3 linked regions of the Canis lupus familiaris genome follow. The protein of the gene in region 1 purifies or fractionates together with the protein of each later gene. This does not show direct contact. Links are inferred from orthologs where the notes say so. Each region holds a gene or a part of one and is shown on either strand. Other genes may lie near its edges. The genes, in order: FOXM1, MYBL2 and G2/mitotic-specific cyclin-B1-like.

Region 1 (4,360 bases):
CATCAGAGAAATGCCAAATTATTATTTGGGCACTTTTGACAGCGCCCAAAAGATCTGGGTCAACGACTGGGGAGGAAGAAAGACAAGACTTTCCCCTGGTTCAGGCTAGGTGCCTGTCTGTGAAGTATCAACTTGATGGACTGCAGTCCTTGCTACCAGAGAGGAAAAGCTGGACTCCTCACCCCTTTGCCTTGCAGACCACATACCACAGCTCTCCCATCTCTGCCCGGGAAGGGCTTCAGGTGGTCTAGGCAGATTCACATCCCTAGCTGCCGGCTTTGATCCCAGGGTCTCGGTGACCACTTCTGTCCTCTTGGGATCATTGCTGGTTTGGGCTTGAGGCTGGGGTCCTGGAGGGTGAGTGGGGGCTCCCCCACAGCTGATGAGGATGAATTTGTTGGGCCCAGTGCTGCCACTCTCTTTTCCTTTGGCGGTCAATGCTGTGATGATGCTCTGGATATTGGCATTGTTAGGGATGGCCACCACTTGTGTGTTGGGCATGGTGGGGTGGTTAATAATCTTGATCCCAGCCGGAAACTTGCAAGAGTTGGACTCTGCTGCCTCCTTGGAGGCCTGTGCTTGACCAGGTTCCTGTTGGGCAGGGGGCCTCTTAGGTTCCTCTCCTGATGTTTCACCTGGGGCATTTTGAACAGGAAGGGGCAGCCTCCGTCTTTTGAGAATCAGTGGCCGACGGGGGCTGGTTTTCATTATGAATCTGTGCTTTCACTCTCCATTGAGAATCACAGGTACGGACCCTGGAAAGTGCAAGGAACAGCAGGATGTCAGAGATTTGTTAGGCTGAGAAGGAGGTATTGCTAGAGAGAGGTGTTCCTCTTTCCAAGACCAAAAGCAAGAGCCCATGGGTCCAGGTTAATGATCCCTGGGCCTCTGTAAAGACATCAGACAATAAGGAGATGAGTTCTATGACAAAAGAAAGCTTAAACCTAGACATTTCAAAAGGGGAAAGTGGGACTGGGTTGAGTATAGGTCAACAAGACCAAAGGTCTTCCAGAAGCTTAAGAATGTTGGCTAGAGAAATGAATGGGACAGTTACAAAAGTGTGGAAATTTCTATTATTGCTTATTATTATACAGACTGCTTGCAGTGACTCGAGGGGCAGGAATGCTGAAAGGAGGACATTTGGCAATTTGAGAAGTCCTGACAAAACTCTGATCCCGGGATCCCTGGGTGGCTCAGTGGTTTAGCACCTGCCTTTGGCCCAGGGCATGATCCTAGTCCCAGGATCGAGTCCCACATCAGGCTCCCTGCATGGAGTCTGCTTCTCCCTCTGCCTGTGTCTCTGCCTCTCTCTCTCTCTCATGAATAAATAAATAAAATCTTAAAAAAAAAAAAATCCTCTCTGATCCCATAATCTATTTCAGGATTGATAAAGCCTGTATATTTTTTTATATCATATTAGTTTATAAATAAAAGGATCAGCACCCATAGTATCAGAGGAGAAAGGTAGATCGTACTATTGCTCCCTTGCCAACACCTCCTCCACAAGACCTCAAAGAAAATGGAAACTGCTCTATTCAGGGCCCATGGTGCTATTCATATCACAGGCTACCACCCTTGCACTGGCAAAAGAAAAAGTACACTTTTCTTTCACAATCTGCAAAATATTTCTATAGTGACATTTTAGTGTTTGCATGTGCTTGATTCATATTTTAACTTTCTAAGCATGTTACTCTATTGCTTAATTTCTCTTCCAGAACCAAGAATAAAACCCTATCTGCTAAGAGAATGTCCTGTCATCAATAGGCTAAGTGGTTTTGTCATGCTAAGGAAAATAGTTTTATCTTTTAACAAAATTGGGTTTGATTTTAAAAAATACACGGGATACTCTATCATGTAAAATTGCGTACTCCTGGCCAGAGGAATGGGCTGTGTTAGGTCATCCACTATCTCCCAAAAGATGACTGTCTTGGTCCTATGACATTTGCCATCTGCTTAGAGTTCATAGGCTCTCTCCCCTCTGCCTCCTCCCTTTCTTTTATAACTAGGTTTCCTCTACTTTCAAATATCAGTTTTATTTCTCCCTCATATCTCTTCGGGCCTCCCTCCGTTCCCCACCAATCAGTAAATACTATTATTCCTCCCCTGTCCCCAAAAGAGATCTTCCTGGTCCAAGGCTTCATTTTGCTTTCAACTCTCTCACCAGTCTCTTGCTATCATTGGCAACACTTGATCTAACCTAGGGGACTTCCAGGGTGACTCCTCTGACAGCACTGCCCATCCTGACCAGGGAAAGCTTGCAGGTGCTCAGGAACCAGGGGAAGGGCCCTGGAAAAGGGTGGAGTGGAGGAGGCAGTGCTGCCCAGTGGTGAGGGCGCCTGGGCGCTGGGAGGCTGCGGGCACGTTTGCCTCGTATGTAATGCAGAAGCAGCTCAGTCTTCACGCCAGCCACAGTCTGCCTAGAAAAGCAGGCCGCCCCAGCAGCCCTCCCCAAGTTGTGGGCAGGGTGCAGAGGTCAAGCTTCCAGGGGAGGCCGAGAGGTGGTCTGAGAAAGAAGCGAGGGCAAGGCCGGGAGGCGGGGTGCGAAAAAGGCTTGCACCCTCGCTCAGCCCTGGTCCCGCGAGGCCCCAAACCTCCGCTCGGGTCCCGCGCCGGGCCGCTCGACCCCCCGGCCGCGGCGCCCGAGCCCGGCCTCCCCGCCGCCGCCCGGGCCGCGGCTCGGACTCCATTCCTCCGCCCCCGCTCACCTCCCGACTGCAGCAGTCGCCGCCGCTGGGCCGTGGCTCCGAGGGCGGGTTCCGGGCTCCTCCGAGCCGGGGGCTCGCGCCAGGCCGGCCGGGTCCCGGGCGGTGCGGGAGGGGTGGGGAATCCCGGGGGATCCCGGGAGGGGAGGGGAGGGGTCCCGGGCCGGGGGCCGGGGGTGGGGTCGGGCACCGGAGCTTTCAGTTTGTTCCGCTGTTTGAAATTGGCGCCGGCGGAGCGTTGCGGTCACGTGACGGAGCGTCGCCAATCGGCGGCCGCCCTTGTCTCCGCGTTCCGGGCCCAGGACGCGGCGGCCCGGGGGAGCGGCGGCCGCGACGGCGCCGGGCGGGTAAGGCGGGCCTGCGGCCGGCTCGTGGGGAGGGGCAGCGGGCCGCCGGGGCCGCCCTCGGGGCGCGGCGGGCGGGGGCGGGGGGCAGCCCGGGCGGCGGCGGCGGCGGCGGGGGGCGGGGGGCGGGCGGCGGGCGGCGGGCGGCGGCGCTGCCCTGCCGGGCGCCTCGGCCTGCGCCCCCTCGCGCGTGGCGGCCGCTTCCCGGAGCCCGCCCCGCCCCGCCCCGCCCCCGGCGCCGCGCCCCCCGCCCCCCGCCTCCCGCCCCTTTTCAGCGTCCCGGGCCCGGCTTCCCTGCGGGGGGGGGCGGGGGGCGCTCCTCCCTCACCTCCGCTAACGATCCGCTGGCCGCGGCCGCCCGAACGCCCCTCGGCTCGTCTGAGCTAACTCCCGCTTAAAAGTAAAGGCCACGCCGTGAGGATCCCGGGCGCACTCGGTCGACCCCCTTTGCCGAGCACCTGCTCTGCGCCAGGCCCTGCGGGGACGCCGGCGGGGCAGGTTCTTTCCTCACTGTGCGCGCAGCGCAGTCTCACGGGAAGAGGAGAGGCCGGTTTTGAAGGCTCCAGCAAGCAAAAGGAGGATTACGGCTGTGAAGGGATAAATGAGAGGTCACTGATAGCAGGATCGACAAGATCTTGCCGTCGGCAGGTCAGGAAAGGCTTTTCTGAACGGAACCTTGCTCCGAGATCTGATGCGCTTGTGCAAGGAAGAGCGTGAACCCCGCCAAGCAAAGGGAAGAAGGTGCGCAAAGGCCGTGTGGCAGGAGGAAGATTGGTGTGGACAAAGGCTGAAGGACGGCCGCGGGCTCAGAGCTGAGAGGCCGGAGTGCAGTGTGCGGTGAGATGAAGCTGGAGCCGAGGATGTAGGACAAAAATCAAAAATGTTAAGCAGAAGTGATTCAAGATCAGATTTGCATTTTTATTTCTATTTTTTAAGATTTTATTTGAGAGAGAAAAAGCACAGGAGAGACGGCATGGAACGGGCGAGGGCAGAGGAAGAGGAAGAGGGAGAAGCAGACTCCCCGCTGATCAGGGAGCCGGGCATGGAGCTGCATCCCAAGACTTAGAGATCATGACCTCAGCCCAAGGCAGATGCTCAACTGTTGGAGCCACCCAGGTGCCCCCAGATAGGCATTTTTAAAAGGCTTCCTCTGCAGGGGGCGCTGGAGTGGATTAGGGTAGACCCATTAGGTTATTGTGATACTTCAGACCAGAATTGTTGGAACTTGAAGGGTGGTGGGGAGAGAATGAGAGCAAGAGAAGGGAGAAAGAGGCATTACTGAGGACATAGGTAAGAGGTAAGATTGTTAGGGCT
Region 2 (3,053 bases), on another chromosome or scaffold:
CTAAAGATAGGCAAGTACCCATCCAGCCCCCAGACATGGCCACATGCCAAATGGCCCCCAGACATGGCCCCCCACATGCCAAATCCTATGAGCCCCCCCCCCCCGCTGAACACCTCCCTGTCTAGACCTTCTCAAACCTGGCACCTACCCCACTTCAGTGCCTAGCTTCAGCCAAGTGGCCCACTGCACCCTGACCAGGTGGACTGGAGCCCAAGGTCTGATTGCTGCCATGGCCTTGGCAAGTTGAGGCCACTGTGGTAAGTTCCGGCCAGCTGCCAGTCACTCCTTGTTTACCAGTCTCACCTGGTGTCTAGGCCTATGGCAGGCCAGGTCAGCCATCCATGGCCAAGCAGGGTCCTGATGCACCTTCCCCTCCCTGCTAACACCCAAGAATCCTCAGAACTTTGAGACAGCCACTAGGTGATCAAACTGCCCCCAGCACACTGGACCTTTTGGGGGAAAGTATGCAGAGCCCCAGCCCTGGGCTGTGCTCTGAGGATGAGGATCCAGATCTCCATATCCCTCAAGGCCCCTGTGACAGTCACCAGGGAACCAACCCAGCGACCAGGAAACCACAAGCAGGAGACAGGAGAAAGGTAGAGTCTACAACAGCATTAAGGAAAAAGGGAATTTTATTCTTTCAAGAAAATGTACTAACAGGTAGAGGGAAGGAGCATGCTGGCCACATCCCCTGTTCTAAGCAGGGGTCTGAGATGAGGCCAGACCCAAGAAGGGCTCAGGAGGAGCTAAGGGGACTCCCTGTGGCACCGGGGAGAGGACCAGGCAGGCCCAGGGGTGGGACTTTGTTCTGTTAGCACCAGGAACCACCGCAGCCACAGCTGGACTCGGAGACAAGGCAGTGGGTGGCCCTGCTCTGCCTCCACCTGAGCAGTCTGAGGAGGGGCTGGTGGCAGAAGGCTCCCTGCAGGTGGCCATCCGAGTATGATTCTCAGACTCACAGACCAACCTCAGTCCCCCCAGCCCCCTGTAAACATAAGAATGAGCTCGTGACCACCAAGCCCCTCAGGACAAGATGAGGGTCCGAGACGTGTGGCTGGGCTTCAAGCGACCCAGGAGCTGCCGGGCTTTCTCTTGCATGAAGAGCTGGTCCCTGGTCCCCCCGCAGGCCACCGTCTTCCAGGCGCTGGTCATCTGGGAGGAGGCAAGAGAGTTACCATCCAGGCAGGGGCAGCAAGCTCCCAGCAAATGCTGTGATGTGAGCATGGCCAGGAGGAGTAGGGGGCATTTCTACAACTCTCGGTCTTCTTCAAGCCACAAGTCTTCTTGTGGTCCCTCCAACTCCCTAGTGGCCCTGGAGAAGTGACTCCTGTTTCAGGGCTTCCTTAGGTATACAGCAAAGAGGTTGGACCGGCAACATGGCTGTGCCCCTGCCCATGTGGTGCCAGCCTCCTCACGAGGAAAAGTTACAGCCAAGCAGGCTAGTGGGAAGGAGCAGTAAGAAATTCATGAAATATAGACAATGAGGTATGAGCAGCCAGGGCAGCCCCTACCCCTGAGGACAGACATGTGCTAAGCAACTAAAAACGGAGACCATGACTTAATTACAAGTGAGGTGACACCATAAAAGGGCTCACAGGCGGGGGGGGGGGGGACGGGGGGGGACGGGGGGGACTCCTGGGTGCCTCAGCAGCTGGACATCTGCCTTCGGCTCAGGGTGTGATCCCAGGGTCCAGGGATCGTGTCCCACATCAGGCTCTCTGTGGGGAGCCTGCTTCTCCCTCTGCCTGTGTCTCTGCCTCTCTGTGTCTCATGAATGAATAAATAAAATCTTAAAAGGGGGGTAGAGGCTCTAGCAGATGGGATCCCTCCCCAAGGGGATCTGGAGCAGTGTCCAGACTGAGATCTGAAGTGTAAACTAGTCAAGCAGAGTCTCAGAAGGGCATCTGGGCACGGGCAACAAATAAGCAAAGTCCCCAAGGGTAATAGGACATTGGTGGCCAAGCACTCACAGGGGCAGGTGTTGGAAAGTGGCTTCGGGGCTTCTGGGCAGCCACTGGCTTCTCCGGTTTGGCCTGCAGGAAGCCCTCGTTGAGCAGACTGGTGTCCTCTTTGATGCCTGACACCATGAGGCTAGAGGAACTCGACAGGACATTTGTGGGCTGCAACAAAAACCAAGCCAGACTCACCCTTCTGCCATAAGCATGATGGGAAAGAAGGAAACCAGTCACATCCCAGCACCTCCACCTCTGGGCTATAGGATTTGGAGCAGGACAGTAACTTCTCTAAGCCTGTGCCCCCTTCCAGATGGGGAATTCTCTGTAAAGTGCCCGTTTCAGAGACTGACAACTAATAGATGCCCAGTAATGCTGCTCCCCTTTTACATGGACATGGTCTCTCCCACCACAGCCTCAGGCAGGGTGGGGGTGCTCTAGTTTCTCCTAGGACTAGAAATCTCTACAAGCAGTCAGATGCTGGCATCAACCAGCACACACATAGAGCTACACAAAGCACCCACCACCCATCCAGCCTCCCGGCTCTGCTTGACCTTTACCCTAAAGGTAAAGAGTCACTGGGCTCAGTACAGTGAAAGGCAAAGGCAAGAACCTGAGGTTTGGGTAAACTAAGAGATCCTAAAGAACAAGAGCCAGCATTAGGACTTTGCAAGGTCCACTCCACCCCAAATCCTGTGCTCTAAAGTACTTGCCAGAGCTTTACTACTGAGCAAGTATGTTACATGCCCAGTTGCAGGTCTGTTGCAGGTCTGGCTGCACAGCATGAAGTCCCCAGCCTGCTGGGGCTCCCTGCCCAGTGATGCTTCTCTGCGAGGGCTATGGCTGCAGCAGTCCTAAATCCTCAGATGTGCAGGATCTGATCAGGCAATCCTTTGTCTCATGCCTCCCACCACCCCTCTCACTGCCTCCCACTGGGCAAAACCCCCCACTGTCAGCTGGGAGGGATCAACAGTGTGGTGTGCTGTCCTGAGGGCAGGCTCTGTGTAGGCAACAGCCCCATTCCTGAGCTCAGCCTGGAACTAGACAGCACCGTTCCCAGGGCTGATGTGTCCCAACCACCTGGCCGTGCACATCACCAAC
Region 3 (3,353 bases), on another chromosome or scaffold:
CAAAGTTACTTAAGAATTTTGCTTCCGAGAAAAAAAAAGTTGATCTATTTTTCCTTATTTTTCCCCTTATGTACAATTTAAAACCCTGGACACTATGTATACAACAAACATCTGAAGACTCTAAAATGTGGAGAGAGGGCATATCAGTAGAAACACAGAGACTCAAGGAATGAAAGGGTGGTGAGTTTCCTAGGCTTTCTTTTTGCCTCAAATATTCCAGATTTGAAACTGAATAACTGGTAACCCAAAAAGACCAATACACACAAACAAAGCTCAAACAAAAGTCATACACCCATGGAAATTTGAGAGGAGAAAATATACTTGGAAATGAGAAGGGCAGCAGAAGCCAAAGAGAAGGATTTCGGTATTGAGTGTGTGTATTTCCTTTCTCTCCTCTTCATTCCAGCTCACTGCATTCCTCCTCCTATAGTATACATTTAGATTCCAGATCTCCCTGCTGCATCTGCATGCCAATACTTACACCATCACCACCTCGCTTGACTCCACCACTACCAGATAGGCCCCAATGTCAGAGGAAATACAGAGGCCAGGAATGAAGAAAAGGAGAAGTGGCAGGAAAATGCAAGGGCAGACAGTAAGATACTGAATTAACCTCTTAGCTTTCAAGAAGTTTTCAAAGTACCAATGAAGAAGGGAAAAGAGAGGGGTACCTAGGTGGCTCAGTGGTTGAGCATCTGCCTTGGGCTCAGGGCATGATCCCAGGGTCCTGGGATGGAGTCCCACATCAGATTCCCCACATTGAGCCTGCTTCTCCCTCTGCCTATGTCTCTGCTTCTCTCTCTGTGTCTCTCATGAGAAAATAAATAAAATCTTTAATTTAAAAAAAAAAAAAAGAAGGGAAAAAAGAGAGGAGAGACCTACAATGGTGTGGCTCTTCATACCCAAGTATACACTGAGTATTTATTAGGAGTTGCAAATTTACTACCACATTCAATTAAATGGAGAAGGTTTTATGAAAGACGTGAAAGAAGAAAGAAAGAAAGAAAGAAAGAAAGAAAGAAAGAAAGAAAGAAAGAAAGAAAGACAGACATGAAAATGTGGGAATTAACTGAAAGAAGAATTTGGTGAATTGCCAAGTTAAAGGAAATTTAGGAAACACTGCAAAGATGTCAATATATCAATTAAACCAAAAAGAAAACTGAGTATTCTCAATTATTAATACATGATTACAACCAATATTATACAAATATATTTAAATATACAATGAAATATAAGCTATATTATAATTACACATCAAGAAAAAACTAATTAGAGGTGCTGCGGAGGAACGGCTGTTGACCCGCGGGCCTCGGCTCCCGGCTCCCGGCTCCCGGCTCCCGGCTCCCGGCTCCCGGCTCGTCAGCGGCTCCCGCGCTCTCCTCTCCCCCCGTGAAGACGCGGCCATGGCGCTCCGGGTCACCAGGAACACAAAAGTGAATGTTGAAAACAAGGCGAAGATCGGTATGGCAGGGGCAAAGCAGGTGCCTCTGGCCTCTGCTGCAGCCTCCAAGCCCGGCCTGAGGCCAAGAACTGCTCTGGGAGACATTGGTAACAAAGTCAGTGAACAACCACAGGCCAAACTGCCTCTGAAAAAGGAAGCAAAAACTGCAGTTCCTGGAAAAGTCATTGCTAAAAAAATACCAAAGCCTCTGGAGAAGGCACCTGAGCCTGTCCCTGTCCCTGTGCCAGAACCAGAGCTGGAACCTGAGCCGGTTAAAGAAGAAAAACTTTCACCCGAGCCTATTTTGGTTGATACTCCCTCTCCAAGCCCGATGGAAACATCTGGATGTGCTCCTGCAGAAGAATATCTGTGTCAGGCTTTCTCTGATGTAATTCTTGCAGTGAATGATGTAGATGCAGAAGATGGAGCTGATCCAAACCTTTGTAGTGAATACGTGAAAGATATTTATGCTTATCTGAGACAACTTGAGGAAGAACAAGCAGTCAAACCAAAATACCTACTGGGTCGTGAAGTCACTGGAAACATGAGAGCCATCCTAATTGACTGGCTAGTACAGGTTCAAAAAAAATTCAGGTTACTGCAGGAGACCATGTACATGACTGTTTCCATTATTGATCGGTTCATGCAGAATAACTGTGTGCCCAAGAAGATGCTGCAGCTGGTTGGTGTCACTGCCATGTTTATTGCAAGCAAATATGAGGAAATGTACCCTCCAGAAATTGGTGACTTTGCCTTTGTGACTGACAATACTTACACTAAACACCAAATCAGACAGATGGAAATGAAGATTCTAAGATCCTTAAATTTTGGTCTGGGCTGCCCTCTACCCCTGCATTTCCTTCGGAGAGTGTCTAAGATTGGAGAGGTTGATGTTGAGCAACATACTTTGGCCAAATACCTGATGGAGCTATCTATGTTGGACTGCGATATGGTACACTTTCCTCCTTCTCAGATTGCAGCAGGAGCTTTTTGCTTAGCGCTGAAAATTCTCGATAATGGTGAATGGACACCAACTCTACAGCATTTTCTGTCCTACACTGAAGAATCCCTTCTAAATGTTATGCAACACCTGGCTAAGAATATAGTCATGGTGAATCGTGGGCTTACAAAGCACATGACTATCAAGAACAAGTATGCCGCCTCTAAGCATGCTAAGATCAGCACTCTGGCACAGCTAAATTCTGCACTAGTTCAAGATTTAGCCAAGGCTGTGGCAAAGGTGTAACTTGAAACATGCATTGGAGTATTGTAATATCTGCAAATAAAATTGGCACCATGTGCCATCTGTATATATTATATGTTACCTTTACTTACTTTTAATAAAGCTTGTGGTCCTTTTTAACTTCTTAAAAAAAAAAGAAAAAACTAATTAGATATATTTTCTAAGTTTTCATTTTTTTAATTTAAAAAAATTTTTTTTAATTAATTAATTTGTTGTTTAAGTAATCTCCATATCCAACATAGGACCTGAACTTACGGCTCCAAGATCACAAGTCGGATGTTCTATCAACTAAGCCAGCCTGGAACCCCTAAGTTTTCATTTTTAAGGTACAAATTAGTGTAACCGAAACTGCGTGTACTAGGAGACAACTAAAACCTTGAAATGAACATTTAAAATATACAGTCATTAGTGTATGCAATATCTTTTGCATATTTTAATCTAAGCTTTTCAAATTCTCAATACCTTTTGATAATATTGGCTAATGTTAAAGTCAAACTATATATCTCAGAAACCATATTCTAGAATTTGCGTACAATATCAGTACCTTTTATTTTGCTACACAATTTAATGCCACTTACAACTTTTCTTTAAAAAAATAATGGTGAAGTGCTAAATTTTGCCACAAGGTGGCTCTTCCCAGGTTTTAAATGAACTGCATCATGTACTCAA

The links.
Region 2: the proteins of FOXM1 (region 1) and MYBL2 purify together in Homo sapiens (affinity purification with western blotting; 3 studies listed by BioGRID and IntAct, with this or other methods). This does not show direct contact. The link is inferred for Canis lupus familiaris from reciprocal best matches to the Homo sapiens genes FOXM1 and MYBL2.
Region 3: the proteins of FOXM1 (region 1) and G2/mitotic-specific cyclin-B1-like purify together in Homo sapiens (affinity purification with western blotting; 4 studies listed by BioGRID, with this or other methods). This does not show direct contact. The link is inferred for Canis lupus familiaris from reciprocal best matches to the Homo sapiens genes FOXM1 and CCNB1.

The regions. Positions count from the first base shown.
Region 1 is NC_049248.1:4,148,526-4,152,885, forward strand, and holds the start of FOXM1 (forkhead box protein M1), read right to left. Parts: upstream 2,843-4,360; 5' UTR 2,706-2,842; intron 756-2,705; 5' UTR 709-755; coding exon 183-708; intron 1-182. UniProt on the Homo sapiens protein: Transcription factor regulating the expression of cell cycle genes essential for DNA replication and mitosis. Plays a role in the control of cell proliferation. Also plays a role in DNA break repair, participating in the DNA damage checkpoint response.
Region 2 is NC_049245.1:32,003,873-32,006,925, reverse strand, and holds the end of MYBL2 (myb-related protein B), read right to left. Parts: intron 2,121-3,053; coding exon 1,971-2,120; intron 1,153-1,970; coding exon 1,024-1,152; 3' UTR 615-1,023; downstream 1-614. UniProt on the Homo sapiens protein: Transcription factor involved in the regulation of cell survival, proliferation, and differentiation. Transactivates the expression of the CLU gene.
Region 3 is NC_049250.1:29,512,658-29,516,010, reverse strand, and holds G2/mitotic-specific cyclin-B1-like, read left to right. Parts: upstream 1-1,308; 5' UTR 1,309-1,403; coding exon 1,404-2,687; 3' UTR 2,688-2,709; downstream 2,710-3,353. UniProt on the Homo sapiens protein: Essential for the control of the cell cycle at the G2/M (mitosis) transition.